Linked DNA regions of Oreochromis niloticus. The protein of the gene in region 2 interacts with the protein of the main gene of each other region in a pairwise test. Links are inferred from orthologs where the notes say so. Each region holds a gene or a part of one and is shown on either strand. Other genes may lie near its edges.

Region 1 (7,534 bases), on a different chromosome or scaffold from region 2:
TAAATGATCTTGAGCTTTTGTGTATAGAAGGCACACACTGGCTTTCTTAAAAGAACTATTACATAATGTGTTTATATTATCTGATTTTTAAATACTTTTCTCCCCTGCAAATAATTTAATAACCAAGTAGCCTAGCCTCCCACAGCTTCACTCCAACTTTCAGGATGTTGGATGTCAATTAGCAGCTGACTGATACTGATGACCGCCACAACACTCAATGAGTAATAGCAGCCAAACTTTCAAAATAAAACCAAGGTATTTATCTATTAGTAAACTGATCGTCAATGGCTGTAATTTTTCATATGGATGAAAAAATGTAATAACTATACTGTTGTTAAATCTCTGCAGCAGAGATCTTAAAACTGGACTAGTAAAATCTGAAAGCCATAAACAAAGACTTCTTTCAGCTGGTTCCTTCAGGGGTTCCCACAGCAGACCATCTGCTTCCATGTCACCCTATCCCTAGCATTCTTCTTTGTCACACCAACAGTCTGCATGTCCTCCATCATTACATCCATAAACCATCTGTGATGTCCTCATTTCTTCCTGCCTGGCAGCTCCATCTTCAACATCCTTTTTCCATTATGTCCCTCCTCTGCACATGTCCAAACCATCTCAGCCTTGCCTCTCTAACTTTGTCTCCAATATGCTCAACCTGAGCTGTTGCTCTGATGTACTAATTTCTAATCTTGTCCATTCATTACATTTTCTACTGAAAATCTAAACATCTTCACTTCTGCCACCTCCAGCTTGGCTTCCTCTCTTTGAATCAAAGCCAAACTTGCAGGCAGTGAAACCAGCAACTTTCAATACCCTCTTGAAAATCTTCCCTTTCACTTTTGGTGCTATTCTTCTGTCAAATTTCAGTACCAGAAAACAAACAAAAGAACAACAAAAACAAAGGACAGTGGCAATGAACTGAAGAAAAGTATTTTAGTGAGACACTGACAGCTTCATGAGCTTCTTCAGGTAATTTGGGAGTTAGATCAATTACTGTCAGAGAAATAGAGCTTTGTTGTCACTGTCTTAGTTTATGTTTTAACATATTTAACACTGCATTTATTAGCATATTATCTGCAGTAAACAATCATACTTTCTTACACTATGTGAGATAGCATGTCTGAAACCTTAATATGTAACCACAACCGATAATAGTCTAGCACTACTATTTAATACTGTGGTATGTTAACACTGCGACAGTGACATCAGCATCACTGATGGTAACAGATAGCGACCAACACAGATAGTTTAGTGTGTAAAATATCTAAATAAATAAATAAATAAATAACAAAATGATAGATTTGATAAGTATGGACTTGTTTTGCAAGAGAAAGTTTTGAACTGCTTTCCAGTATTTGCCAAAAATCTGTTTTATCTGTTGTAAAATTACTTGTTAGCCTATAATCTGTCAAACATATGGCAAATATATCTCTTATGAAAGGTATCAAGTCATTTTGATGCTACAAACAACATTCCTATCACAAGGTAGAAGCTGCAAAATTACTTTTATATATCCTTTATTTATCCAAAAAGTGTTATTGACATTACAAAAGTCTTTTTCAAGAGAGATCTGGCCAAGAGGGCAGTGGAAAACGCAACAAATATATCATCACAGTTCTTTCATACACAGGCACAATAACAGAGAGACGTAAAAACACTGTAAAACTAGTAACTTCTTTACTTAACGTATAACTCCTTCATAAATTCTAATGACTACAGTCTATTTAACAATATAAGTAAAGATATCATTAAAAAAAGCAACAACAAAAAGAAAACACACACACGCACACACAGAAACATCAGAAATCAGTTTTGACAGTGGATCATTTTTTGGCACCACACCTGTGCTAGTGTTAGACGTGAAAGGTACCCAACCCCACACACCACACTTGACAGTACTGAACCCCAGGTTCAATGCGTTCAGACACTTATTTAAGCCATGTGTCTCGCTTGCGTGAAGGACGGTGTTGATTACATTCAAAGAAAGCACACACACGTATGTTTAAAGAGTTTAAGACACAGCGGTGGCAGGGTAGACAGAATCGCCCAGGGAAAAGGGTTGGGTTAAATAAGGAAAAGCAATGAGCACAGTGTGAAAATGCAGTAGTACAAAAGAAGTCATGGGCTGTGAAGGTGAGACAAGAAAGAAAAACTTGGAAGTTTGGAGAAAAATGAGAAGAGAGAGGAGACATAGGGGGAGAAGAGGCGAGGGTGTTGCTGTGGGCAGCACGTCTAGAAATAGCTTTAGAGTCGATGGTATCAGTGACCCACTCGACACACATGCCAGCTGGTCGGGATTGACAAGGAACAGCTGGCTCACACATACCGAAAAAATAGCTTCGGCATGATGGAGTATCAAATAATAGACAGCGACAGTCAGTCGTGAAGTCTGTGCAGAGAGACTTCAAAATCTCTCACACCACCAACCACGGTGCCTTCACAACATGACACACTTTAATAAACTACGTGAAGGTATAATGGGCTGGTCCTCCGTGTTTCTGATATCAGCTCAATAGCCAATGATGACACATGCAGATACTACTTACTTCAGCAACATCTTTCGACGTCAACAGCTAGGCAACTATCAAGTTAGCTAACTTTCAGCTCGAGAAAGCTGCACAAGAAGTCAAGTAAAATTAATAACTGCTACCCTGTGTTGTGTATTCAAGTTATCGCATGCAAGACTGCGGTTCTTCCAAACTGGCTTTAAAGAAAGGTCCTCAAAAGCGTCAGCTGGCGAGGACATGGGAGTGACGCTAGCTTAGCTTGCTAATTATGGCTAGCACTGCTAGTACAAGCTAATATCGAACTCTCGGGTACGTACAGAGGAAGTCGGATCATGTTGCCACAATCCACGAGACTTAAACTAGAATACTGTACCGTATGAAAAACTTTTATGCTTGAAACTGTATTGATAAGCCGGTATTTACCTTGTAATAAGCCCCGTTGGAGCCACGGACCTCCACCGCCAGTTCTTCCATATTGGAAACGCAAAGGATGTTGGGACGACAGGTGCTCCTTCAAGCGTCAGGAGGACTTGACATCTTAGCACCAGTAAAATGTATAACAACGAAGTACATGTAAAATTTGCACATTCAAAACTGAATTAAAATGAAAATATATCTTGTTATCCTAATGTAGCTTACCTGACAAACCAAAAGTGAAACTACAAAAGATGAATGCCCTTTTATTTATGTTTTGTAGTTTCAGGCCCGTTTTATTGCTAATGTACATTGAGAGCTTGTTGCTGTAGTTACTGTTTGCTGTATCTACTCTTGCTGTTATAATGACAATTAGAAGACACCTACTAAATCACTTTCAGTACAAGTTATTCCATTCTTTGCAATAACACAGACAATCTATAGTTAGACTGAGTTAATCAAACCAAACTTACTTAGTCAAGATAGCTGACCCAGTTGCAATACTTTTAGTAAAAAGTAAATCCCCTTTTCAGTTTCTTGAGCAGTGTTTCCTTGCAGAACTACGGTGGAAGGATTATAACACAAAAAGTTTGGTCTGATTATGTGATATTTAGGAGAAATTTTTCTCTGAAAATGTAGTGGAGTACCAAACCCCCCCTCACAAACTTAAAGACAGTCAATTTCAGGAGGAATTCAATTAAGGTTCATTTTATTTACATACTGCCAAATCATAGCAAATGTTGCACTTCATCCTGCAAGGTAAGGAGCTTAAAGCATTAGAATGAAAAGCCCAACAATCAAACGTCCCCCTATGAGCAGGCACTGGGTGAAGGTGGAACAGAAAAACACCATCTTAACAGGAAGTACCCGCTTTAAGGAGGGGCAACTATCTGCTGCTACTTCAGCATTACTTTCCTGGACTCTACTGTCAACAGTTCTAAATTTATATGAAATTGTTAAAAAAAAAAAAAAGTCCACTATCAGAATATAAATGTAGGTCTCTTTTATTGGGACACTACGTAGGATACAGCTTGAAATGCTGCTCTAAAAGTAAACATCATCAATAATGAGAGTTGTAGAAAAAGGGTCAAATGGTTAGACTATGATAAAAAATGACATTTGCTGTGCATATCAATGTGGTGCGAGATTCAAACTTAAGAGATACATTCTCCATTTTTTAGTTTTTTAATTTCCAGTGTTTAAACCTTTTTTAAAAATCCAGCTTTACCTGCCTATGAAACTACATCTTCTCAGGTATGAGAAAATGTAGCAATGTACTGAGCAGCAGGGAAAAATTAAACAGTCTGATGAATAGCTCTGAAAAGGCAAACTTGTGTTGCCTTAGAAGAAGAAAAAAAGAAGAATACAGGGACCTCACCTCATTTTTGCGAAGAGTTCTGACTGCTCGCCTCTTTTTTTACAGGTGGGGATTTGGTCCAGTGAATCCCTTTTCAATCCCTGCATTGCCATTGTACGTACAAGTCACTTCAAAGTCATACAGAGTGATGACATTTGTCCTACAGTGAAGCATTCATGGTCCTGATGAAAGTTCATTCTTCCAGAATGATGACAGTAGTTACTAAAATGATTGGTGTGCTTGAAAAAAAAAGCCCCCAAATAGATATTCTAGCCACCAGGCGTACGCACAGGTTGGTAATGTTAATTATAATATTACCAAAATATTTTGGAAAACATAACAAATTTCTTTTTTTGCAAACTGTTCTAGAAACCTGTGGTGCAATGCCTTATTGACAGACTTATTTTCAGTGTTTCTGTTATCAGCCAACTGACATACATTCTGAGGAGTAATGCAGTATTCAATATTCTTTTCCGGATGCTATGGCCTATTTCCTTGAGTTCAAATTAGTAAGTTTGGCTCGTTTGTATAATGATTTATCACAGATAGCCAAGTTCACATTACCTTTTAAGAGATCTTCATTTCTCCTGCACAGAGAAAAGTGTATAAAAGCCATGTAATACAAAACAGCTGACCTCAAAATGTTCAAAATTGTCAAAATATCTCAGGTACTGAGAATACCTTCACATCCAGTGCAGGTGACATTTGCTTCCAGCAAATGGTGCTTGAATCCAATATTATTTTATCCCTGTTTTCACAGGAAAAATACGCCTAATTTGAGTGTATCTTTTAATCATTTATTTAGCTAGTATAATTTTCTAAAAGCTCCCTGACAGAGTTACTCTGTAGATTTGGTAGAGGAACGTGTAACACATAAGACTCTACACTGAATGTGGCAGACAGGCAAACAGAGAGCAGGTGCTGGCTCATCTTTTACAAACAGCCACTGTGACACCTAGTGGCGATTAGTTATTCTCTTGAGGTCTGCTATCACTGTGCAGCAGATACTATATTATTTCTGATCAGACCATCAGACTGCACCAGAGATAAACTATTTGTTAAAATCATCCTCAGCAATATAACATCAGTGTGTGCACAGTGTACACTGATATTTGCAAGCTAGTATTTTTATTCATCGATACATGTCAAGTTGGATGGAGAACAGATTCATCTAGTTTGGAAATGTCACTTGGACATTTGTTTAGTTATTAAAAAAACACCAAAAGGATCACTTGCAACAAATAGGTGGTCATATCTGTTTGTGTAGTTGCAAATAAAGAGGAAAGCCCCAACATCCAAATTCAACTAAAACTAGAAAAATTTGCATTTCCTGCGAAAATGCAGTGTGGATGCTGTAAAGCTGAAGCTGTCAGCTGAAACTAGCTGAAAAAGCTGAAAAGTTGCAGAAGTTGTAAAACCTTTGCAAAAAATTGTAATAACTTTGCAGAAGCATAAGAACTTAGCAAAAATGTAATTACTTAGCAGAACTGCAATATCTTAGAGGAAACATAATACTTGGCAGAAATACAATAGCATAGCAGAACTTAGCAGAAATATTGTAACTTACTAGAAACACGATAACTTCTCAAAAATACAAGAATTTAGGAGAAATAGTATAAGATAACAGAAAGAATATATTTAGCCAAACATTCTTAAACATTACAGAAATACTATGATTTAGAGAAACAGTACAACATAGCAGAAATGCTGTAATTTGACAGAAATACTATATTTAGCACAAATCTTATAAAATAGCAGAAATGCTGTATTTAGCACAAATACTGAAAAGCAGCAGAAATGCTATGACTTAGCACAATAGTAATAACTTAAATAGAAAAATTGGAAAAGCAAAATGGACAGCTGAAAAAATCCTGAGCATGCTAAGGGTCCCTCAAATGTAATTGTTAAATGAAAAGAAAATCAGCAAAAAAAAGTATAACAGTCACACAATCACAAATATGGACACATATTGAAACACACATGCACAGAGAGACACACACAGGACCAAATTCAGTCAACCAGTCTAAATATATTGAATTAAAATCATACAATAAGATGCTCCCATAAAAACTCTCTCTCGCCCTCCCTTTCTCTCTCTCTCTGTCTCACACACACACACACACACACACACACACACAGCAGCAGCAGCAGCAGAAAGTCAACAGGGGCTGTTAACAGCATGTTTCTAGGTCAGTCAAACAGCTGTGACCTTCTCAATTTGAATCCACCAATCAGAGAGGCTGTGTGCTTTTTCCCGCCAAAACTGGTGCACTAAGTGCAGGCTTTTACACATGCAGCACAGAGAGAGACAGGATTTTTGCAGTCTATTTCTCATAGTGAGAATTCCCCTCAAACAAACAGCCATAAATTTCTAACCGTAGGGGCTAAAACAGTCATTCTTAGACCATTTTATTCAGAAGACATAGGGGAATCTTGAAATGCTGACCATTTAAAATAAAAATATGAAATATTAGAGATATATGACATAGATGATTGGTGGGCTTAGAAGCCACGAAGGTCCCAATATGCAAATTTGAATGTGCCAGGACTCAGATATGATTGGCTGGCTGAGAAGCCATGAAGGTCCCAATATGCAAATTTGAATGTGCCAGGACTCAGATATGATTGGCTGGCTGGGAAGCCATGAAGGTCCCAATATGCAAATTTGAATGTGCCAGGACTCAGATATGATTGGCTGGCTGGGAAGCCATGAAGGTCCCAATATGCAAATTTGAATGTGCCAGGACTCAGATATGATTGGCTGGCTGGGAAGCCATGAATGCCCCAATATGCAAATTTAAATGTGCCAGGACTCAGATATGATTGGCTGGCTGGGAAGCCGTCCAGGTCCTGATATGTAAATTTGAATATTAGGACTGACTCCCTGGGGACCTGGCAGAAATATATAGAAATACAATGATTACCCAGAAATACTGCATTTAGTAGAAATACTATGTTTTAGCACAAATACTATAAAATGGCAGAAATACTATAATTAAGCAGAAATATTATATTAAGTACAAATCCTATAAAATAGCAGAAATAGTATGATTTAGCACAAATGCTGTATTTAGCACAAATCTTATAAAATAGCAGAAATAGTATGATTTAGCAGAAATGCTGTATTTAGCACAAATACTGAAAAGCAGCACAAATGCTATGACTTAGCACAATAGTAATAACTTAAATAGAAAAATTGGAAAAGCAAAATGGACAGCTGCAAAAAGTCCCACAAGCACAGAGAGACACACACAGG
Region 2 (7,881 bases):
TAACAGGTAGAGGGGTCCGAGGAAGAGACGTCTGTGTGTGAGTTGGAGGTGTAGTTGGAAAGGCTCAAGTTTCAGAAGAAATTACGGGCAGCTGTTATCGATCATGCTATCAATCATGGCTTTTCACTTAAAGAGGCTGGACAAAGAGTACAACCGCTTTAAACAGAAACACTGTAATGTTGCTGTGTAGTAATATCTTCAGCAATATACTTCATGTAATTGTTTCCTCATTCCCATTACATGTATTCTTTATAGAACTGCCGTTCTCTGGTGGAAGAGGGACAATTTTCACGCAGCCTTATGGCAAACAATGCCATAAGGCTCCGTGAAATCAGGGCAGCAGTGATCGCAGATCAGGAACCTCAACAACGTGGGCCTGACCACCACTGACCAAGTCTTGAAAAGCAACCATATTTCCATGAAGCAGCTCTACAGAGTTCCATTTCAAAGGAACTCTGAGGTTGTGAAGGAGGCCAGATGCTGTAATGCCTTGTCATATCATTCAGTTAAAGTCAACTGGAGTCACTTTTCATTGTAATTTTGCTTTTACTCAGAGAAGAATGGAGCTTGAAGCTGAGGGGGCACATCATGTCTTCATTTATGTTGATGAAGTCGGCTCCTGTAAAGTCAGGAGTTGTGGAAGGAACCTCACTGGATACAGGGCCACTTTCATAGTTCCAGAACAGAGGGGTACCAACATACCCACGTGTTCTGCCATCTCCAATGATGGTGTCCTATGCTATATCCCCACTATTCACCCATACAACACCGAAGGACTCATGACATTCCTGAATACACTTCATGAGAGGCTGATCTAGCCTGAGGACAGAGGGCTGTTGAGGACTGTCATGCCCCTCTTCGCCATTATCTGGGATAATGTGGCGTTCCACCAATGAGTGGTTTACAGTACACCCACATATAATGATGCAGTTCCTCCTAGTATGTGCCCCATTTTTGAATCCCTTAGAGGAGTTTATTATCACCATCCCTATGAGCAGATACCCTTTCTGAATGCAATGACTGCTGCAGCTCAAGAAATAGGTGAGGAGGAATGTCAAAGTTGGATACGGCATGAAAGAAGATTTTTTCCTCGGTGCATTGTGAGAGAGAATTTTGAGTCTAATGTGGATGAAGCCTTGTGGCCAACTCGTCAAGTCAGAAGGGACTGAGTATCAATAGCGGCTGTTTCTTATACTGTAATAGATTTTATTTTGGTTTACTGTATTCATTTTGCATTTATGTATTTTCTGTAACATGTACAGTATTTCAGTTTTCAGCCAGTTTGCATCAAAGCATTTTTGATTCTGGATCCCACTGAGCACTGCATTTTGTATTTTGTTGTCCATTGTGTAATGATTGATTGGAAAATCTAATATACTTGTTTGCAAATTGTGTTGTTTTGAAAGCAAAATTAGCTTTTGGAGGCATAAACAAAATGTGTCACTTTGACCGTCAGTGCCTCTGTTAGGCCTGTTTGAGTTGACTGCTGCATGACAGCAATCAAGAAAAGCTGTAAAGCACTAAGGATATACATACATGTCTTCATAGATTTCTAAAATGTTTCATAAATGATTTTTTCAGAGAGTTTTAATTTGCATATATGTTAGGTTAACTCTAAAACTCATGCAGTTCAGTGCTACTGAACCACACCGGCCACTTAAGATCCTCACCAGACTTAATCAGCCTCTTGTATCTCAGATGCCCTGCTATGAAGTTGAAACGCTGCCCTTCATTCTGCCTCTGAATACAGTAATATGTTTGTTGTGACAACGGACCGATAAAGGTTGCGGTCCAGAGAGTGGTGTCCCCTTTTTAACTGGACCAAATTACTTGTGTAACACACACTTTTTCAACAGCTAAATGAAGGGTCATTAGTTTTGAGCGACAGCTAGAGAGAGGTCGCACTTTGGTGTGTTTACAAAATTCTTCATTACACTGTCGTGTTTAAAATATCATCCTGGGTCACTGGTGATACATGGGGTGGAACATGGGGTGGCAAATTCCACTTGGATTGAATCTTGTGCTTTGTTTATCTCAGTGTTTATGATGAGGTCCAGTCTCTGAGCGGAGAGACGTTGGGTACAGTCAGGGACTGAACCCTGGACCTGGACAAGATCCAGCAGTCCTTTTAAAGTAGTGGACCTACTGGTTGAGCTGCAGCTAAATCCCCAGCTCTGAGAATGGGATCCTTTGTGAAATAGCAGGCAGGGAGGCCGAGATTCACTCAGAGAAAAGAGAGCACAGGGCTTCAGAGAACTAAGCTGCTATCTGATCAGTTCCACACTTTCTTCAGGTCTGCTTTGCTCCTGCCCGTCCTGGATGGACAGTGAGGCTGTTTTAACATTGTTTTCATGCCTGAGCTTCTTTAAAAGTCAACTCCCACATTTTGAACTGTGTCTTGTTTTGCGTCCAGTGGGCTTACAGTCAAACCCCCCTGACCCTCCCAACTCCCTGAACACATTACTCTATTGTCTCAATATGTTATGTAACTATGTAACCACCTCATGCTTTGTTCAGTTCTATCAATTTTTGTTTTACAGAAGAAAAAGAGACACTTAAGAACACCAAAGTGAGACAGTGTGCATACCAACCAGTACAGCTGTCTTCTAAGGATAAAGAGATGTAGGTGTATGATAAAGTGTGTCACTCAAGGAACATCTGACTGGAATATGACACATTAGGTTTCAGGACATAAAACACTATGACCTTTAAATCATTCAATAAGGAGAGCGACAGAAATCAAATAAGTGCTCACCCGAGATTTCCACCACGCCATCTTTCGTCTTCACCACCAGCTCCTCAGGTGAGAAGTGGTTCACATCCAGCGATACTTTCCAGCTGTCTTGGGTCTGCTTGATCTCGGAAATTCCGCTGCTCAGCTGGCGGGACAGGGCCCGAGCCTGAGCCTGCTGAGCCATCATGTGGGTTGGATACATCAAAGGGGCATGCGGTGTCATTAGTTCTGGGGCCAGGATGGATGGCCTCAGGTACCCTGGCCAGTGGGTGCTGGGGAATGCGGCGATGTCCTCGGGCAGGGCGGGCATGCCGAAGGTCTGGTCAAAGATACGGCTGCTCTGGTGCCAGTCACGAAATGGGTCCCAGCTCGGAGTGCGGAGCAAGGTGAAAGGAATACGTCTCTCAGCCATGATGATCTGGGTATTTCTTCTAAGCTTCAGAGGAGTGTTGCTGTGTGCAGATCAAGAGCCCCTTGGCCTCTCTGGAAGTGTTTTCTTAATGTGCTGTCTGCCTCTCAGCTGAGAGCTTTTATACCCACTGATAAGGGGTGGTCCCTTATCAACCGAACCCTCCCTTCAGACTCAAGCCCAATACCTCATGCCTCCAGAATGTTTTAGGAAAGCACTAGAATATCTATTTGTAGCGGACGTAGCACTGGAATGGAATTCAACAGGAAGGCCCTCCCATGTAACAGCTGCCCAATGCCCTGAGTGCTGTGTGTAAACCCCCTTCTCCTCTCCCTGTGCGTCTCAAAGAGCCAGAAGAATCTGGGAGGCTTCTGTCAGTCTACTTACAAGCTAACATGCTATTTCTAACAACACTATGGTGTGCTATGAACCCAGTCAGCCCTGAATGAAATACACAGTGGAATATCAGTTTGGTACATGAATGCAAATGACTTGACTGCATTAAAACTGGAGGAAAATCCACCATGTTCACACCTGCCTATTGATACTTCATTGTCACAAAGAGGGAATTAACAAGCTGTAGTGTCTCAAGTCTTCTGTTAACCTGACAGTCTTTCATTGTTTACTGGATTAGTTAGTGCCGCGTGATACTGCAATTTTGGTATCGATCCGAAACCAAGTAAATACACGGCCAGTATTACTAATACTAGTACACATATTTTTAAACTATGAAGGCAGTTTATCTAGGGGGGAGTAGTATGTCATGATTTATGAGATTAATTGCCAGTTTCCAAAATCTGAATACATTTTAATGACCACTAAATCATCATGATTTTTACTTTGCACATGAAGTAGTTGAAGACCTGGAATGTAAATGTGTCTGTCTCTTAAGCACTTTGGGTCAGCTTCTATTGTTTTAAATGTGCTAGGCTAATTTAAAAAATAGATGTGACAGTGAAATGGAGGTTATGTTAATTTATTTGATATATGGCAAAGTAAGTAAGTATTTGATTTGTGGAAGATTTGGCTCAGGTCTTAGTGTAAGAAATCTAATCCCTCAAAGTTACAGCACAGGATGTGATATCTGCCTCTAAAATAAGCCACGTCTTCCTCTCAGCCCAAGTTTGCCTCGACGTTTCAGTAATTCCCCACAGCTGGAGAACATTCTAGCCTACTTAATAGAGAGAGGCTTCATGTTTTTGGTCAAGGTTCTCATCAGTGCCATCTGTAGGAAAATACATACACAGCACCAACAAGTTATCGCTGACTGCACCTGAAGGCAGAGAGAAGAACTCAAAAACTGGATCATTTCCCCATTTGTTTCTGTTTATTGTCAGGTATAATAACTTGTACAATACAAAGAATGATTTGTAGAATCAAAGGGGCAATGCTATACTTGGAATAAATGGTCAGGCTGCAGAGTATCATAGCTGGGATAAGTGTGGTTACACTGGAAATGCATGTCATGAGACCGGGTGAATGGTAAGGAAGACTTAGGCTGATCCCTGATTGTATCACCTGTTTGTTAACCACCCTCATGGAGGTGCAGACACAGCCTGCTGCCGTGCCTGCCAAGCCATCGCTCATTATCTTTTGTAGCCAGCAACCGGGGAGACCTCTGCTAGAAACGTGTGGCCAATTATACAAGGGACTGAAATATGGAGTGACTGGAAATGTACAGCAGAGTAATAGACTCTTCAGGCTGCTTCAGGCCGAGTTCTCTTCCTCCCTCGGCACAGGCAGAGCCACAGCGGCCCTGCGTTACCATGAATCATTATAACGGCTGGGGACGCAATAATGGCAGTGGTGGGAGTAACTGTGGGTGAACGCTCAGTTCAACTGGCTCAAAAATCAGAGCTCCTTAAACACGTAGCAATGCATCTGTGCACTGCTTGTTGATCTGATAACAGGAGCTAACCTTTGCAATGAGAAACCGATTCTGTATCATAACGTGGACATTTACAGTACTTTTCTCAAATCTGCAGCAAACCCATCTCCAAACCATGATCCAACTGCTTCACAGCGAAATGATAAATACATTAAACAATAAATAACCCAATAAATAAATGAATAAATACAGCAAGTTTCATAAACAGCTGAGATCAACTCACAAATGTGCATGGAGACTTTTTGCAGTATGGTACCATACAGCAGCTCACGTAAATCATTACCTCGTTGATCTTTGTAAAGGAGGTTCACACTCACACACACATACAAACGCGAACACACTCTCGCACAGGATTAGCATAACGAACGTAATGCGTTCATTAACCTCTGTTTGCAAAGGTCAGGGGGAAGGGGGAGGGCAGATTCACCCTGCTGGCACCTATCATTTCCATCAGGTTCCTTGACTCTCTCCTGATGAATCATGCTGAACATACCTCTTCAAACTATATGGAATATACAGTGCATAGTTTACAAAGCCAAACTTAAGAGAGTTTACATCTGTACAGACAAATCTATGCAATACAGTTTTCTTCTAAAAAAAGAAAAAAAAAAGTTATTTTTATTTCTTTTCCTGATTCATCCTCTGACTTCTCTTTTGTTCTCTTTTTGTTGATCTGTGTGCTTGGATGAACTGGAAGTCTTTGGGGTTGATGATTACATGATGAGAGAAAACGAAGTGATTCTCTGAAATGTACAGTAAGCTGTGTGATTTCGATGTGTCTGCCTTCTTTTCGTCTTCTTTTCGTCTACTCAGCCCCTCTTTTCAGGATATATTTGATATATATCTATATATACTTATATAACTGTTATTAACTGTTATTGAATGTATTTTTGGTAGCTGTGTGGAAGATGAGAAGGAAAGTGCTAACATACATTTGTTCTTTGGGCTCAGCCAATTCATTTTAGACACGTAAAAAAGAAAAAACCTTTCCTTGAATGTGTGAGAAGACATGAACAGTGACAGCCAATTTCATGGTAATGTGCTATATCAAAATACATTTTCCTCTCTTTGATCCAGGCTCTGTGTTAGAGACAGAATGGTCCATGGTGAAGGAGTTTGGATCCCGGGCTGTACAGCAGTGCGGCCCCTGCCGAGGACTTGCTAAGGATACGTAATGAATCTACCGGAGTGCAGCAGGTTTAACAGCACTTCTCCTACTTTTGTTCCTGTTTTTTTTTTTGTTCTCGTTCTGCTGGTCGCCATCAGAACCCCGGGCTGTCATAGCTGCTGCGGCTGTAATAACTGTGGTGGCTGCGGGAGCGGCTCCTGCTGCGACTCCAGCTCCGGCTCTGGCTGCGACTCCAGCTGTGGCTGCGGCTCCAGCTCTGGCTCCGGCTCCTGCTGTGGCTCCTGCTGTGACTTCTGCTGCGGCTGTAGCTGCTGTAGCTGCGGCTGTGGCTGCGGCTGGATTGTGACGGGCTGCTGTCGTAGCTGGAAGATGAAGGACTGGGCCGGTAGTATGGAATCGGCCGCTTCCGAGCGCTGGAGGAGGGGGAAAAATAAGGGTTTGAACAGTTAGTCCTATGTCCTAGTCCTATTTTCTATGGTTATACTGTTAAATCTGATGTTAAAGCAAGATTAAGGCAATCAGTGTTAGGTCACAGAATGGTGACGTGTAATCAGTACAGGATCTGAAAGAGAGCAGCTATGTGGGTTAAAAAAAAGCTCTTCAGCCTCACACACACACACACACACACACACACACACACACACACACACACACACACACGTATAGCAGAAAAATGCATGTGTTTAGTTGAAGTTCAAGCTTAGATTGCCTTGTTAATAGCCACCCTGGCCACCCTTACTTCCTGTAAGGTAATTAGCCGTTAGTTCCCTAAGAACCTCATCTTCTCAGTGGAGGCCAACACCCAGAAAATAAAAATCAAGAGTCAGTGGTGCAGGGAGAGATAAACGCTATCAAGGTATCCCTGCTGCTACGAGGTACATTTCACGAGCAGCGCTGTAGATAACTCAACCCCAGCTTTTGTCTTCTACATTGGCTGTGGGAATCAACAGTGTGAGCAATAAGGTGTGTGAGGGAAAGAGGGGGGCTTCCACTCTAATAAACCTTGATAGCGCTTTAATCTCTGCATCCTTTGTGTTACAACAGTAGTGCAGAAATACAGCAGGGTGCGGCTCTAGAGCCGGAGTGAGTTTCAGGAATGAGATGAAGAAGCAGAGAAAGGACAGAGGAGGAAGCCCAGTTTACTCATGGGAGCTCTGATGAGTTGCTGCTCAGCCAAACTTCAGTCACGGTATCAGGGTCCTGCTGCACGGCAACTGTTACCGGGGTGACTAGCCGGCAGCAATTGGGTTCAGCAGTAGCCCGTTGTCCTGGTGTCGGGACCTTTAAGGACTGAAGTGAAAGATGACAAAGTACACACATTTTACCCATGGCTATTTACACTCGAATGAGAAGGTTGCAGAGGTAACACAGGGAGAGGCTGAAACACATTTCACCTGCAGGTGGGACTTTCTTCTTCCTCTGTTTGTCTGAATAATTAACTGCACCTAAAAGCATTTCTATTGGTAACAATGAAACGATCATATGAGAATAAATTAAGAAGTCTAAGAAGTAAGCAGGAAACAAATATGTGGATGAGTCTAATAAATGGTTTTAAAAAGACTCATTAAAATGGAATAGAACAACTGGAACAACTAAATTAACCAATGAAATCTTTTGCCAGTTCAGTTATTCTTCATTTTACATCCTCATTCTTACATCTTATGTTATATCTCGTATTGAAGCACTTTGGTCACAAATCACTCAATATTAAAATAAATAAG
Region 3 (7,397 bases), on a different chromosome or scaffold from region 2:
CAGCTTCCCTGATTACTACACCTAACTGTGATACTAACCAATGATTACAAATGTCAAACCACATTGATGCAAAAGTGACTGACAGAATGCAGATGTTGTTCACTTCATTTAATAACAGTTGTTTTCTGCAGAGGCCCTTTAAGTACCATTCGAAAATCAAATTCAAATGCATAGTTACCTCCACCAGGTCCCAGCAGTAAACGTGTCCGTCCTCTGAGCAGCTCAGGACGTGGGTGTCTTTACTGGACAGGCAGCAATCCAATTTGTAGCCCTTCATCTTGTGTCCGGTATACCTATAAAAACAAATATATGATAAAAACATGAGTTAAAAAACTTATTTACATCAGTAAATCGTACGATTTAGAATCTTGTAATTACTCACTCTAAGTTAACTGTGGTCTAATTTCTAAATTTCAGTTTATGTCATGTGGTCCTGAGGTTATGTTAAATGTTGAGGTATCTCGAGTGATGTCATGCGGACATTACTCAAGAGCACAACCAACGGTCGCGAGGGACAAATGTTCTCTGACAAGCTGATGGCTGGTTGCAAAGAAAATATTGCAACCAGTCAGCTTGTCAGGGAACAAGTTTTCAGATTTCAGTTTTCAGATATCATAATGAGGTAACAAAAAAACAATATTTATTGTATTGCTTTTACTTTATGAAGCCATAGTAGCAGCACATCACACTGTAAGTGAAAACAATCAGCACTCACTCTCCCAGCATTTCACCGGTGCTCTTGTCTAGAAGTCTGAGTGTTGAATCCAAGCTAGAGCTCAGGGTACACTGACCATCTTGACTGAAACACACACAGGTAATAGGACCTGGAACGCAAGGATAAAAACACTTCAATGGTTTTATATTTTCAGTGAAACTGTTTTGCTACAAAAATCAGTATGTAACAGTAATATCTGCTGAGATTAAACTGTGTGAAAGTTTAAAAAAATGTTATGAAAAAGATTACTAACTGCTGATGAAGTCAACATGTAGCTGTCCCATTCTCAGGTCGTAGCGCCTCACTCTGCCATCCACCGACCTAAAACACAAGATCATTATCATTATTATAATTATTATTATTATAAACTTCCATAGCAAAAATGAACAAAAATAGTTGAATAAATGAATCAAATCTCTGTTTTTATTTGTGAAACTCTTAACATGCAGATTGTTTTTTTTTCCCAACTATGTCTGAAGTGCTGACCCAGTAAGCAGCTCGTGTTGTGCCACCTTGAGGCTGCTGATGCTGTCCCGAGCTTCATCTAGAACCTGGATTGGCTCATATCTTCTGGATCTGGTGTCCCAGCATCGAACTGTCCCGTCTATGGACCCTGAATGATGAGAATACATAAAAATAAAACCCAGTAAATACAAATGTAATAGTTTATACATTTGCTAAGCAAATACAAGAAATACTAAAAATAGTTTACGTTTCAAGTTGGATGATTAAAGCATGGAAACTTTGAGAATGTACAGATAACTGACTTTAACATAAGGCAGACACCAGTTAGAACATCCACATTCCATAAATAATTTACTGTCATTATGACTCACCAGACAATATGACTGTTGCCTCCTCATTAAACTGCACACAGTTAACTTTCTGCAAACAAAAATTTGAAAAGGAGACAGACAGTGAAAAAAATATTACATAAAACAAGTACACAGGCACAAACAACAGTGCAGCCGCCATGAAAACATGCAGATGTTTTTCAAATGAAATACCATGATGCCCAAAGTGAAACACAGAGCTAAAAAGAGAAGGACTGACCCCGGCATGACCCCTGAGTTTGCGTGTGACCTGGCCGGTGGCGACGTCCCACAGAATCACTGTCTTATCTGAGCTACATGAGCAAATCTGGCTGTTGTCATAGGACCTGTGCAAGGAGCCAACGAGAAAAGGTCATTCATTTATTTTATACACTTTAAACATTTGCTTATATTACTTCTGGGGCTATATTCCTGAGACTAAAACCCCGTAGACAACCCCGTGGTAGTTCTCTCACCCATCAGCATCCAAAACCTCGTATCCATGACCACTGTACGTCTTCAACAAGGTGCCTCGGCTTGCACTCCACAGTTTTAAAGACTTGTCACTGCCACAAGACAGCAGGTAGTTCCCATCAACTTAAAAGACATGACCCAGAGACAAGCTGATATAAGTGGATAACTCAGAACTGAGGAATGGAGCTTACATACTTTTAACAAATGAAATAAAGATCATACAATTTCAACAAGATTTGGCAATTGATATTATGCCAGCAGCTAAATAGACTCAACTTGAGAATGATTTGTTTTTTTAGCTTTTTCTTACTGTTGAAGCGAACAGCCCTGACAGCTCCTTGCTGACAGTCTATGGTTCTGAGAAGATGTTGAGGAAGTTGAGGAGCCTGAGGTCTGGGCTGAGGAAATGCCATCACTTAACCTCTGTTTAAAACAAACACACACAAACCTTTTAGCTACCCACATTAGCATCTCCTTCTAAAATGAAAGTCAGAAGCAAGACAGAATACATGTGTATAAATGGTAAAGAGGCGGGTGTTACGTTGACCATGCAAAGAGTAGAGGTAGTGAAAGGGGAAACGTTTAAAAATCTGGGGTCAATAAAAAGCAACACTGGAAGTGACAAGATTAGAATTAGATTAGATCAGAGAGACAGCTCAGGTCGAGCAGTTTGGAGACAAAGTCAAAAAGGCAGAGCTGAGATGGTTTAGACAGTATTGAACAGAGGATGTGGAGGTGCCCGTTGGGAGGAAAAAAGGAAGACCACAGAGAAGACAAACTGGTGAAGTGAAGGACATGCTGTGGCGATCCTAAACTCTTAAATTCTTCCGCATAGTCTGCTGTAGCTGTAGATTTAAGACCAGAAGTTTACACGGCTACAAAAATTTAAGCTAGTTACAGAGTATGATATCCTGTCATACAGACAGTTTTATTAGCTTTCACAAAAGCACTACATACCAACATTTAAACTATTTACGTTTATCGGATACATTTAGGCAATTTCTCCTTAATCCATGAATGACTTAAAGGACCTCTTGAATTAAAGCAGACAACTTTATTTATTTCTATGTAGCTTATTTCGCTCACTTACTTTTATTGAAAGACAGTTTCAGGGACGTGCCATATTCACATTCCTGATTAAAAGTAACGTTTTTGCTCAGTTTGTTACTATAACCCTCTCCTTCGCATCATTTCTTCCATGTTTTTAGCACAGGCACGCAATGCATCATGGGAACAATTATTCCCGTCAAAATAAAAGCTCGAAAAGCATTTACCGCTTTGATATTGGCATAAGGATTGCGTTAAGCTTTTATTGTTAAATACACCGGAAACGACTCTCTCTGTCGACTCCTTTCCTGAAGTAGCTGGTCAGCTGTCTGTCGGTTTTCGGAGTTTAAACTTATTTTCATTTGCTTACAATAGGAAGACCTTGAAACATATTATGTTATCCAACAATATGGCAGACCCGAGGAGGCAAAATAAAATCTTAAGGTGGGCGTTTAATTCAGTCAACAAGTTTCTACGTTATAGAATAGAGCTAACAGCTAGCTAACCTATATCATTTATAATGAGTGGAGCCTGAAAGGATTAACTGGGCGAATTAGCTGTAGGACCTAATATATACTGCTGAAGAGCAGCTGTATAATGGCAGCTAATCAATATGTTGTCCGCTCTTGGTTGTTTAATTTTACACAAAGTCGTCGTGACTAACCCAACCTGTTCCCATCTTTGTTTCACCGTTATTTACGATTATGATTTCCAATGGGTCTCTTTTGAGTTAGCTGTCATAGATTGCTTTGTTTCGGGCCCGTCAGTAGCGGTTTTCATAAAGGTGTTCAATGGTTAACTAAGAAGTTGTTGTAGGAAAAATGATAACAGCAGGAAATCAACAACAACCAGTACCAATAAATTAGGCAATAACTTGTTGGAAACACTGGGGATGGCTCCTTTTTGGTAACATGGTGATTCTCCTTTGGACATACTTGAACTGAGTTTAACATGTGAGATAAACTGGATCAAAAACATCAAGTGCAAGTTTGGCACTGCAGTAAAGCTTCTGTGGCTGAATGGGAGAAAATCCCTATAGTCAGGTTCCAAAATTTGCTTTAAGGACATCGTGAAGCAGGGAAGACTTCTGTAGCAACATATGAAAGTCTTATAGTGTCAAAAGTTTTGTAGAGAAAATTTTCAGCTGTGTAAAATGTGTGTTTATTTATATAAACTTAGGACCAGAGATTTTAACAGTGACCAAAAAAACAGTAAGTTTCCCTTTTAGTTGTCTTTGGTTAAAATAAGTTTGTGTCATGACAGGTACAAACCTCCCAGCACAGAGACTAACCCGACACTGGAGGACCCCACACCTGACTACATGAACCTGCTCGGCATGATCTTCAGCATGTGTGGACTTATGCTCAAGGTGACCTACACACACACACACACACACACACACACACACACACACACACACACAAAACCCTCCTCACACCAAAACTCTGACTTCCATCTCCTTTGTTTTCTGCATATTTATGTGTCCACATAAACATGTGTTGCCCCTGAAGGATAGACCTTAGGCCCATTCATTCCATTTAGAAGATTAAAGGTAAACCTGCCTTTTTAGATGAAAGGATGAACAGCAGCTACCGACGTGACCACAAAGGACACAATGAGTGGGGAAAAAAAAAAGACGATGGAGCTGAAGTCATTCATTCAAGGTCCAAGGAGAACATTTTTATAATTGACTTTCTTTTAATAACCAACTGACAATTTTTACTCATTTTTGATTCAAGGCAAAATATTAAGAAGGAGCATCTTAAATTTTAGGCAAATGCTGGGAATGATTGCATTTGAAGATGGTGTACAAACAGTGGCAACACCTAAAAACGTACTCTCTTGCTGTTTTCACATTTGCACTTTGTAGACATTACTTAAAGGATCCCTGTGTGAGAATGCAACTTTCTGAATCAGTTGAAGCAGGCATTAAACACACTTTACTCTTCCAGCTCCTCAGTATATAAAACCTGTGGAGTCTTATTTTGAGCCCATGTGATTCATGTTCTTTCTGTTCCATTCTCTACTCAATACTGTAGCTAAGCATTTAGTGATTCAGAGGCTTGTTTGAAAACAGATTATCAGGACCACCCTTGGCTTTAGACTAGAGTTTTCCTGGAATGCTGTTATCCTATTTGGACCTCTGTCCAAATGGGATAACAGATGCTCAACACAGCATAACCCCCACACGGGTTATGCTGTGTTAAGCATCTCTGTATGCTTTCTGTGATACGAGCACTTCCAGACCACATAATTGTTCCTCATGTACTTCATGTACCAGTTAAGTGCAATTTAGGAGCTGTGCTGTTAGATGCTCCTCTATTTCTTTAGCAGATTTCAGCCCTGCAACTTTTTCACCTTTTTTTGTTATACATCTCTAATAAGCTCGTCAGAACATAAACACAGTCTAAAGCTGACTCATGTGTTTGTGTTTCAGCTTAAGTGGTGTGCATGGATCGCAGTCTACTGCTCGTTCATCAGCTTTGCAAACTCCCGAAGCTCAGAGGACACCAAACAGATGATGAGCAGCTTCATGTGAGTATACCATCCCATCTGTGGATGCACTATAAACACACTACACAATGCATGTGTAGCACTGCTTTGTATATTGTTTAAGATTTATCTATGTTAAAGCCATTTGATATAAAATTAACATTTTTTTGGCTCAAACTGGAACAAACTTAAACTATTTTTGTTAGTTCTTAGTTATAATGGCCAGTAAAATGAACATGTTTAGATTATAGGGTAGGAGTCTGCATTTTTGAAATTGGAGGTTAGACCTTGTGTCTTTCTGCAACTGCAAGTCCAGACAAGCCAGCTTTAATGTCCAAAAGCTTTTAAATGTGTGACCCATCTGGGAGGTACATTTGCCTATAAAAGACCACTACAGTAGGGCCCCTGTCCAGGCTTCACAGACAGATTTGCAATGAGGAAAAGCCTTCTTGTCCATTGTCTGAATGAGGTCGTATTAAAAATGAACCTAATGCACTCAAAGATTAGTAATGCAAAATGTTTGGCTCGGCAAATAATGTCAGACGACCAGTTAAAGGCACCAGCCTTGTGTGTGTAGAAGCTGGTTCAAGGCCAAATTTAGGACACTCCAAGTGGTTGTGCAGGATGAATGGACAGTGGAGGGCAAGTATGACATTGAGGGTATCAGATGAAAATGGTCCCACGTGTGTGGGTGAATTTACCCCATAGAAGCTTCAAAAGGTTCAGGCACAAATTCTACTCTTAGCTGTGCTCAACTGCAGGATTTTATAATACCCCAAGTATTCAGCAAAATAATACAATTAAAAGCAACCAGGAGTGTATTTTTGTTTTGTAAGCAGTGTAACAATGAGTCATTTTAAAGAGCTCCCCTTTGCAGAAAAAGGTGCTACAAAGCAAAATTTTAACATGCCTTTAAAAACCTAAATTGCACAGTTTTCATGATGCTTTGATCCCATTTTCTGTGCTGTCTTCAGGCTGTCCATCTCAGCAGTTGTGATGTCCTACCTCCAGAACCCACAGCCAATGTCACCGCCATGGTAACATACGGCCAATCTCAGGAGAGAGCAGAAGTGAATTGTGGATGCAGGAGTGGGTGACAGCACATCTGACTGAATCCCCCCCGGCCATCTATGAGCATAAACAGAGACGAAGAAGAACATAATGTAATAGAGAGAAAACAGACGAGCAGGAGAGGTAGACAGCAAGGAGAGCACTACGTCAAGATAGAAAGATAAAATATCTTGGACTTGTTTTTTTGTGTTTATAACCTTTTCTAAGTCTTTTGCTTGTTCATGAACTGATGTCATCAATAAAGTTTTACGGTTTTAAAAGGATCTGCTGGCTTTTATTACTCTGGAGGAAAAGTGTTAAGGATTTGCTTATATGACATTTAGATTGTTTACTTGGCCTTAAATAATCATGTCAACATACATCTCATTTTTGTGACGCTCGGGTACATTTGACAGGTCACAAAATAAATAACAGACTTTGACACATCCTATCAAGTTAATCTCGCCCCTATTTACATTTTGGTTTGCTTTATTCCACAAAGCTTCACCATCATAGTGAATTACACATGAATTACACAAAGTCCTACTGAATCCTCCTGCAAATATTTGGATGTTACTGTATGTCAGTGTTTTGATGCATGCTTAATCAACCAGGTAAGCAAATCCCAGAAAGTAAATTTTCTACGTTTGGATGTAGAGTTTCCAGTGAGAGATGCAAATGCTTCACCCAAAATTAAATCTGGCTGAACAGAGTCAACAGTCTTGTATCTGCGTGTCACTCACCTTTTCCAAAACTGCTCACCGCATTTGCTTTAAACTGGTCAGGTACCTAACCATCATCAATAA
Region 4 (8,106 bases), on a different chromosome or scaffold from region 2:
TGCTGCATGCTTTGTTGTTCCTGCTCCATTTTCTGTGGCGGCTCTCTCGTGAGGATATGCTGCTGAACCTTAGAAGTCAAAAACAATTTATTGGAATCTGTCAAAATCTAGGTCACAGCATGCTAACAGGGAAATCAAAGCTTTATATATATATCTGAAAAAAACAAAAAACAACAACACGCCACACAGAAAAAGTAAAATTACCTGTGGCCTTTCTCCCATCACTTGTGATATAACAGGTGACTGGCTTCTGATGTGAGGAGGGAGATGAATGGAGGCAGTATCGCGGTGCTGAGGAAACAGAGTTGGCGAAGCCTGTTCCCGGGGGGGCTGCATTGCAGCAGAGTAGCCGGGCCATTCATCTGTCTGAAGACGATGGAAGGGCTGCTGATGTTCTGGGTAAGGGATGCGCTGAGAGTAAACTGAGGGATTTAATTGAACCTGTGTTTGTCCCCCTCCACCCTCATGAATCACTGGTATAGGGATATAACCAGACTGGAGACCGGTGCTGCTGGGCCGTGAAGGTTGGTGATGCGTAACAGTATAAGCCTTAAAAATAAATGAACAAATTAAAACAGTCAAAATTCAGTAGTTGTTTGAAAATTGGAACATTTCTGCCTACTGTAAACATTATACTCCATCTGGTGGCACATTTAAACTCAATTCCCACCTCTGGTGTCTGTGAGACAGGCGAGCTCGTCTTTCCAGGCTCAGCGGAGGAGCTGTCTGACGGGCCATGTAAAGGCGATCTAGGCCTGCAGTGGAGCCCCGGCGTTGGGGAAGGTGTCCGCCCATCTGTCCGGATGTTCTGTGCAGTGCTCGGCTGGATGTAGGAATAACACGGGTGCTGCTGCTGCTGCCTCAGTTCTGCACCCTCATGATAGACTGGGATGGGAACATAACCTGGGCGAAGAATGGGGTGCTTCATCTCCCTCACAAAGGTCTTCTGTGTCTCCTGAGGACTTAGTTCTGGCTGTATGTTGGGTCCATTTGCTGACACTTCTCGAACCTGAAACATAGCAACATAGCAATCTATGTAACCTTATACTCAGATTAATTACAGTTGCTGTTGTAGTTTATTGCAAATTTTAGGCATCGGTTGATTACAAAATGTGCTTTAATATATTTTTAGCCAACCTATTCTTGCTCATGGGTGTGTAACAGAAGAAAAATTACTTTTACATATGTTAAATATTCAGCTATAAGCTCCTCCACTTAAAGAGTTGCATTTAAGTCCACGTACAACAGGACATTTTACGATGTGCCACTAAATGTTTTTCTTCAAAGTATTAAGGAATTTTAAAAAGCAAAGTGTTTTCCATCCTGAGGTAACTGCAGAGGTTATAGGTTAAAATGTCACAATTTCGCAGAGGGATGCCAAAAGTATTGAATCTTTGATATGTGAACCCACAGGCTCTGGTGCGTTTCCCGTCAGACAGCTTGCTGTTTCCGTGATGAATATTATTGTTGATTGTTTCACAATCAGAGTAACATAACCTGGATGAATGTCCTGACTTATCCAACAACAACAGTTAGCACATCCTTGGATCTAATAATATCAGCCAAACATTAGGATTTTTACAGAAAGAGGAAATGTGGTTTGCTTTGATTGAAAAAAAAAAAAAAGCAAATATATGAGTTCTTTCCACATAGCACAGTAAATTCTTTCTCGAGCAACATTTATTCATCCAATCATAGACAATCCCAGGATACATTTGTATACATACAAGAGTAAAATATAATTAAAAGAAGGGGCTGGGTTCTACCGTATGACTAGTAAATCAATGCTTTAAATTTCCATTTTCTACTGCAGAAAGGCGCTTGTTTTCTATTAGTATTACTCTAGACTACACACCTGCACATGACAGCTATGGATGGGTACAAGCAACAGGTCTGCCAGTTCAGCACTCAGTTAATGGCATAACTGAAAAGTGACAAAAGTTGTACCAGCTGCCCGAAACACACCCGAAGTAAACACCTACAAAGCAAACACTGCATTTATCTGTAAATCAGTGGCATTCTTCCAGTAGGACTAAAGTAATGAAATAGCCGTGAACGACCCTTTGCCCTCTGCCACTATGGGACACTGCACGCTGCCAGCACCATTGCACCAATTTTATCCCCCAACAGCTGTGTCTTTCTAGCAGATTCCTCTGGACACTAACTTTGGACAACAGCGTCTCTCTCTCTGAGACGAAAGATTACCAGCTGGCAGGCTGTGAAGCTCACTTCAGCCCACGGGTTTTCTCTGCAGACCTGTGCGCTTTCACAACACGGTTTTTAATACAGCTGAATGCGATACGCGGGGGGCAGCCAGCGCCCGGCTACAGCCGTACACAACCGAAGCGAAGTGGACCAGCCTCGATCCTTGTAAGGGAAAAAGTTTAATATGAGCAGGACGTCGCAGCACTGTTTTGCACCGTGAAAGAAACACATTAAAATGCCGGGGAGCTCATCATGGGTAGCCTTTTGCATGCTGCAGAGTGAGTCATCGAGTAATAATAGTGTTAGATCATGACTCGGGAACATATCAGAGTTGATCACCCGTTATAATGGGCTTATGAGCTGTCCGTGAGGGGGAGGCAACGGTGCCAAACAGGGCCTACGGTCAACAAGACTAATATATAACAGTGATGTAGCGCAAAGGCTTCTGCCGCTTTAACAACGCAACAAACCAAAACATGCACCACAACCGACGCACGTCGACAGAAAAAAAAATAGCGGTGAAACTGCCGTTAGCCGTTACCGTTAACTGACCAACTTTATCCCGCCGCTCTTTTACCTTTTTCGTGTCGTGTCTCGGGTCATTCCAGGTTGTGGTACGGTTGTTGTGGTCCACGAAGAAGGGCCATCCAGTCTGAGGGTCAATTTTTACTTCCCAACCGAGGGGGAGAGGGTCGTTGTCATTACTCGCCATGGTCAGTATCGGTGACTGTGTCTTCATGCCGTTCATATTGCTGGCTGTCGAGTACTGAGACATTTTATACGGGCGACGGACGCTTTAAAGATTCCTTCAAGTGACGTGGAAAAGTGGGCTGGAAGTTTCTCGAAATAGCAGGGTTAATGTTGGGGGCGGACAGCGCTGGATACAGTGGCATGGGTTCCCAGATTTGTTATGTCGCAGGCAGACCCCCCCCTCACATAGACACAGAGTAAACCCTCGATATTTTTTTTTTTTTTTTTTTTTTTTTTTTTTTTTGCCCACCCCACCATGCATCCTTTTCCCCCTCTTTGCTGTGTCCTGTCTGGGCAGAGAAGTAATCACCCTTACGTGTACAGTGGGCACTGTGGACCTTCCTCAGTGACCCCTGCCCCTGAACCATTTTCCAAGACAAGGGAATCCCAAAGTGTTTGCTTAAAAAGATGTTCTCCAAATAGATGTACTCAGACTCCCACATAATAAATGCTGTCCAAGGGAACTCAGTCTGGGTTTGCATTGATTTGGTGCACAATTATGTAACTGGTGGTGTGATAAGTGTGGGCACAGTGACACGTCTAATGACTGATCTTTCTTAATCAAAGGACTACTCCAATTCTGCCCTGTACTACAAGGAAAACACCAGTGCAGCAAACCTTTGATCTCGTGGACTTAACAGTGTCACAAACGTTCAACACATGGATTTTTAAAGGTGTTTGATATTTTGGACATTGCAGGCAACGACATCTAATATTTGCATTTTGGCATACCAGAAAATACACACGTGATTGACAGTAATAAAATATGTATTAAGTAGTTTATGGGAGCAATTCGTTTTAATTGGATATCTGCCTGCGAGGAGGGGAAGCCAACTTTAATTTTTGCAAGCTTGTCAATTATATCACCGTTAATTACCCATCGCCACGCTTTTCTTAATCCACCTCAAGCGGCTTCTTATGGCTGTAAAAATATCGCGGTTGCGCAACACAAATTAGAGCCAGTAACATTAAAGAGTGAGAGTAACTAAAGTCTTTAGTATTTTTTATGGAAAATTACTAGTAGACTTAAGAATGACAGGGGATCATTTTTTACGCATTTGTCCTTTAATAAAAGTCCTTCAAAATAAAAGCGCCCACTATGCGCCAAGTTTAAACCACAAGGAAAAAATAAAAATGAGGGGGGAAAGAAAAAAAAATGTCTTTGGGTAGTATAAAAAAAAGTACAATTCTTTGGTTCTGTACACCCAGGGTTATCACAACAGTTCAGGCAATAAACTCAACAATCTTGTTATTCAACTTTTTTTACATATACTTTGACATATAATTTCCTTCCATCCCCCACCCCACAACCACTGCCTTGTTGTGACTAAGCATTTAAAAGAGTTTGTTAATAAAGCGTGAATGTACAAGTCAAACGGGAAATTTCTTCACAGTGACATCTGAGCTCAGATTCGAGAAAGGTCCTGGTGGTTCGCGCCACTGCCTTGAGCCGTCAAATCTCGGCATTGAAAACAAGCGTACCTTTGCATTGCATTTCAAAATAAGAGTTTCGTATGCAGCTTCCTTTTCCAAAATTAATAAAATAAGTACACATTAGGTTTGCTCTTTCGGCTTTTTACAGTTAATTTTTTAAAAATGGTGTCATTCAGAAGTAACGGTCTTTAAGAAATTTTCAATTTTTTACTATTAAGAACGCAAAAAGCCTTTTATTACTTCAACCTTATGTGACGGGTCTCTTCCTGCACACGCACGTACGTACTCTGGACTCTCACAGTGTGACGTATGCTCTGGCGCCCGGTTAGCTAGCTTCTAAGCTAGTTAGCTAGTTGTGGTTTCTAATTGCCAGTTAATACCAGCTATAACTAGCTAGTAAGTGGCGTTTTCTTCCCTGGTTACTGTCAGCATCGACTATGGACGACGAAACCCACCCCAGAACCCTGTAAGTAGTTTTTCGTGTCCGGCAGTAACGTTGCGTGTCATTAGTTTCGCTATCGTCGGTGTTCGGTGGCTAAATTAGCTAGCTGTTGTTTCCACAAACAACTGGACGACATAAACATTTAGCGTTTATGCTCCACTATTTTCAGGTTAATTGACATAAGAGTTAATTAATAAGTATATGTGAGTTATATATAAGTGTTAACAACTGTCTGTTAGATGTTACTAACATCGTTAAAAACAGACTACTGTAAGGAACTTCACTTCAAAAACTCATAATCACCAATGATACTGTAATACCAGAAACGAAGTACCCGTGCTTCACTTTTTCAAAGTAAATAGCTCGTTTCCTGGAGTAAGTGGACTTCTTTTTATTTTTCCTCCTCTAGGTATGTGGGAAACCTCTCCAGGGATGTAACAGAAATTCTGATCCTGCAGCTCTTCACCCAGATAGGACCATGCAAAAGCTGTAAAATGATCACAGAGGTAAGCAGCTAAGGTTGCTGGGTTATCTTGTTTTCTACATTTTCACCTAGTTGTAGTTTTAGTTGAGCCACACTGTTAATCTGTTGTGTCTGATCTTATCCTTACAGCACACGAGCAATGATCCCTATTGCTTTGTGGAGTTCTTTGAACACAGAGATGCTGCTGCAGCCCTTGCAGCCATGAATGGGAGGAAGATATTAGGAAAGGTAGGACATAGCTGCTCTAAAAAATTATATGCAAAGTTATTAAGTTTATTTGTTGTATTAATGCCTCTCATCCTTGAATATCATACAACATTGTTTTCCTGAGTCTTCTTCACAGTTTTAAGTGCTCTCTGTGAATTCTGTTTTCAGGAGGTTAAAGTAAATTGGGCCACCACTCCAAGTAGCCAGAAGAAAGACACATCCAGTAAGCGATCGCCTATTGATTCCCCTACACCACCACGCACACAAACACACGTACACTCTGCTGGAATCAGAGTCTACTGGGGATTAGCAAATAGTTTGTTTACTATGTTCGTGTTTTCTTTTGTACTAGATCACTTCCATGTTTTTGTGGGTGATTTGAATCCAGAGATTACTACTGAGGATGTCAGGGTTGCGTTTGCACCATTTGGGAAAATATCGTAAGTTTTTACGTGTGTGTGAGTGTGAGAGTGTTTGTGTGTGTGTATTTTTTTTCTACTTGTCTTATGTGTAATACAATATGTTTCAGTCCAACCACTGATTTTTTTTTTTTTCTTCCTCCCAGTCGGTTGAGAAACAGGTTTTATAGGTTGTAAAGGTGAAACAGAAAGTTGCATTACACAATGAGGCCTGCATTACTGATGTAATCTTTTTGGTTGAAAGACAATTATGTTTGATTGTCAAGGACTGGAAATTGGCGCTCTGTGCACACCTTTTGGAGAGAAAAACGAACCAGACAACATAATGAATGTGTAACAGGAAAGGATTAACACTGGAATGGAATAGAGTAGAATAGAATAGCCCTTTATTGTCACAAAGAGTATTGCTTACATTGAGTAGAAAAGGCCCCACATCGATGCATGTAAACATACTTAAACATGGAGTAACTAATACCTTTAAAATTATGTTGTTGTTGTTTTTAGATATAGAGTGGCGACACATTTGCATTGACAATGTGGTCGGTCTATTATGTCTTTATTTTTATGACTGAACTGTCAGTTTTTTTTATGCATATGTAGGGTGTGGTAAGTAAACTGTACAGCATGTGAGCAAAATGTAAGCTGTGTATATGTACCTGAACAGCTTTTAGTTTTGAGTCTCAGTGAAGTAATAGCACTTTGGTTATTTTACAGAAATGCTCATAGGATTGGACAGGAGCTTGAAGGCTAACAGCAAGGAACTGTGCACTCTGGAGACTCAGATGTAGTTTTTTTCTCTATTTATTCCATTCTTTCCATATGTCTTTATTTGTAGATGCCATGTATTAACATGACCTAGCTTAGATTAACAAATTCCAATACAAAATGTCTTCCTCTAAATCTGTGTTTTTTGTCTTATTTTTGATTTGCATAGTGTTGTTTGTAGTGCCATGATCCTCTTCCAAAAATTCTGAAAATGTCAATTTCTCAAAATTTGCAGCTCCCCAAACTCCATACTCCATATTGGTGGTAAAGAATTGACCAGGAAAAATAAAGAAATCTGTTAACAGGCCATGTATGCCGTTTAATTCCTTTTTTCTCTTTTTGATATTTTCTATTTATTTCTGTCTGTAGTAAGAGTACGAACAGCAGCTTATAAGAATGCATGGTAATCCATAGCCATTTGCTTTGTGATTTTTAAATCTGTAGCCTACTGTTGTGAGGACTGAGCAAACAGTGGTGCTCTAGTGGTAAAGATCCATTAATACGTCAGAAATGATTTAAAGACAGTACTGTAGGCTGCATGTATTTGTACTTGTTTTTCAAGTGTTGCTTTGAAGTTATATTACGAGTCAGTACTCCGTACAAGGTCATGATAGCTAATGTAGCTTAATGTCGGACAGAGTAGAGGATTCACAGTTCATTGTGTTTTGCGTGGTTCCTTTTTTGTTTTAGTGTAGAAGATTTAAACTTCAAAGTGTGCTGAAGTTGTTCTCATTTCTCCTTCCAGGGATGCCCGAGTTGTGAAGGACATGACGACAGGCAAATCAAAGGGGTATGGATTTGTGTCCTTCTACAACAAACTGGTAAGGCTCCAGTGCGAGAACACAGACTGAAGGTTATTTCTATTTTCTGTTTCTTATCCTACTTCAATACATTCACAGCACTTAAAACTCAATTATTCATAGTTAGTCTTATCCTAACTACAAGCATCTAACATTACTAATTTCCTATTTTAATCACCAGTTTCAGTTTCAATCTCAGAATTCTGATTTTAAAATGAAAAAGAGTAATGCATGGCCACAAATGAGTTTTATCAATCTATCAAATCCATGAGTAATCGTTTGGTTTGGGTTTACAGGATGCAGAGAATGCCATTATTAACATGTCGGGACAGTGGCTCGGAGGGCGCCAAATCAGGACTAACTGGGCTACGCGCAAACCTCCAGCTCCTAAGAGCACTCAGGACAGTGAGTATTGTCAGATATCCAGTTTCGGCAGGTGCTATGATTTCAGCATTCATGTTATTCATGTTATTCACACCAAATTCTGACCCTAACGTCTGAATGCTGCTGCAGATATTGAGATTAATCAGATCAGGAAACAGTCCAATCTTCTATTATCTGGTTTTTGGTGTAGCTGTGTGAATTGTAGCTGACAGGAAT

The links.
Region 1: the proteins of hspb1 (region 2) and fxr1 interact in a two-hybrid assay, tested with the Homo sapiens proteins (2 studies listed by BioGRID and IntAct). The link is inferred for Oreochromis niloticus from reciprocal best matches to the Homo sapiens genes HSPB1 and FXR1.
Region 3: the proteins of hspb1 (region 2) and wdr83 interact in binary tests that used the Homo sapiens proteins (3 or more experiments, as listed by UniProt). The link is inferred for Oreochromis niloticus from reciprocal best matches to the Homo sapiens genes HSPB1 and WDR83.
Region 4: the proteins of hspb1 (region 2) and bag3 interact in binary tests that used the Homo sapiens proteins (3 or more experiments, as listed by UniProt). The link is inferred for Oreochromis niloticus from reciprocal best matches to the Homo sapiens genes HSPB1 and BAG3.

Annotation. Positions count from the first base shown.
Region 1 is NC_031981.2:30,302,589-30,310,122, reverse strand, and holds the start of fxr1 (RNA-binding protein FXR1), read right to left. Parts: upstream 3,252-7,534; 5' UTR 3,147-3,251; intron 3,045-3,146; 5' UTR 2,982-3,044; coding exon 2,931-2,981; intron 1-2,930. UniProt on the Homo sapiens protein: mRNA-binding protein that acts as a regulator of mRNAs translation and/or stability, and which is required for various processes, such as neurogenesis, muscle development and spermatogenesis.
Region 2 is NC_031975.2:6,936,387-6,944,267, forward strand, and holds the start of hspb1 (heat shock protein beta-1), read right to left. Parts: upstream 3,147-7,881; coding exon 2,756-3,146; intron 1-2,755. Other genes in the region: srrm3 (serine/arginine repetitive matrix protein 3), read right to left, coding at 6,294-6,573. UniProt on the Homo sapiens protein: Small heat shock protein which functions as a molecular chaperone probably maintaining denatured proteins in a folding-competent state. Plays a role in stress resistance and actin organization.
Region 3 is NC_031971.2:7,021,302-7,028,698, forward strand, and holds the start of wdr83 (WD repeat domain-containing protein 83), read right to left. Parts: upstream 3,235-7,397; 5' UTR 3,092-3,234; intron 2,425-3,091; 5' UTR 2,415-2,424; coding exon 2,312-2,414; intron 2,125-2,311; coding exon 2,004-2,124; intron 1,875-2,003; coding exon 1,769-1,874; intron 1,601-1,768; coding exon 1,552-1,600; intron 1,329-1,551; coding exon 1,202-1,328; intron 1,037-1,201; coding exon 969-1,036; intron 825-968; coding exon 716-824; intron 294-715; coding exon 179-293; intron 1-178. Other genes in the region: wdr83os (PAT complex subunit Asterix), read left to right, coding at 3,443-3,492, 4,312-4,417, 5,486-5,583, 6,516-6,582. UniProt on the Homo sapiens protein: Molecular scaffold protein for various multimeric protein complexes. Acts as a module in the assembly of a multicomponent scaffold for the ERK pathway, linking ERK responses to specific agonists.
Region 4 is NC_031978.2:25,360,040-25,368,145, reverse strand, and holds the start of bag3 (BAG family molecular chaperone regulator 3), read right to left. Parts: upstream 3,154-8,106; 5' UTR 2,981-3,153; coding exon 2,783-2,980; intron 1,010-2,782; coding exon 671-1,009; intron 550-670; coding exon 205-549; intron 69-204; coding exon 1-68. Other genes in the region: tial1 (nucleolysin TIAR), read left to right, coding at 4,827-4,855, 5,241-5,337, 5,445-5,543, 5,691-5,745, 5,875-5,962, 7,452-7,527, 7,803-7,911. UniProt on the Homo sapiens protein: Co-chaperone and adapter protein that connects different classes of molecular chaperones including heat shock proteins 70 (HSP70s), e.g. HSPA1A/HSP70 or HSPA8/HSC70, and small heat shock proteins (sHSPs), e.g. HSPB8.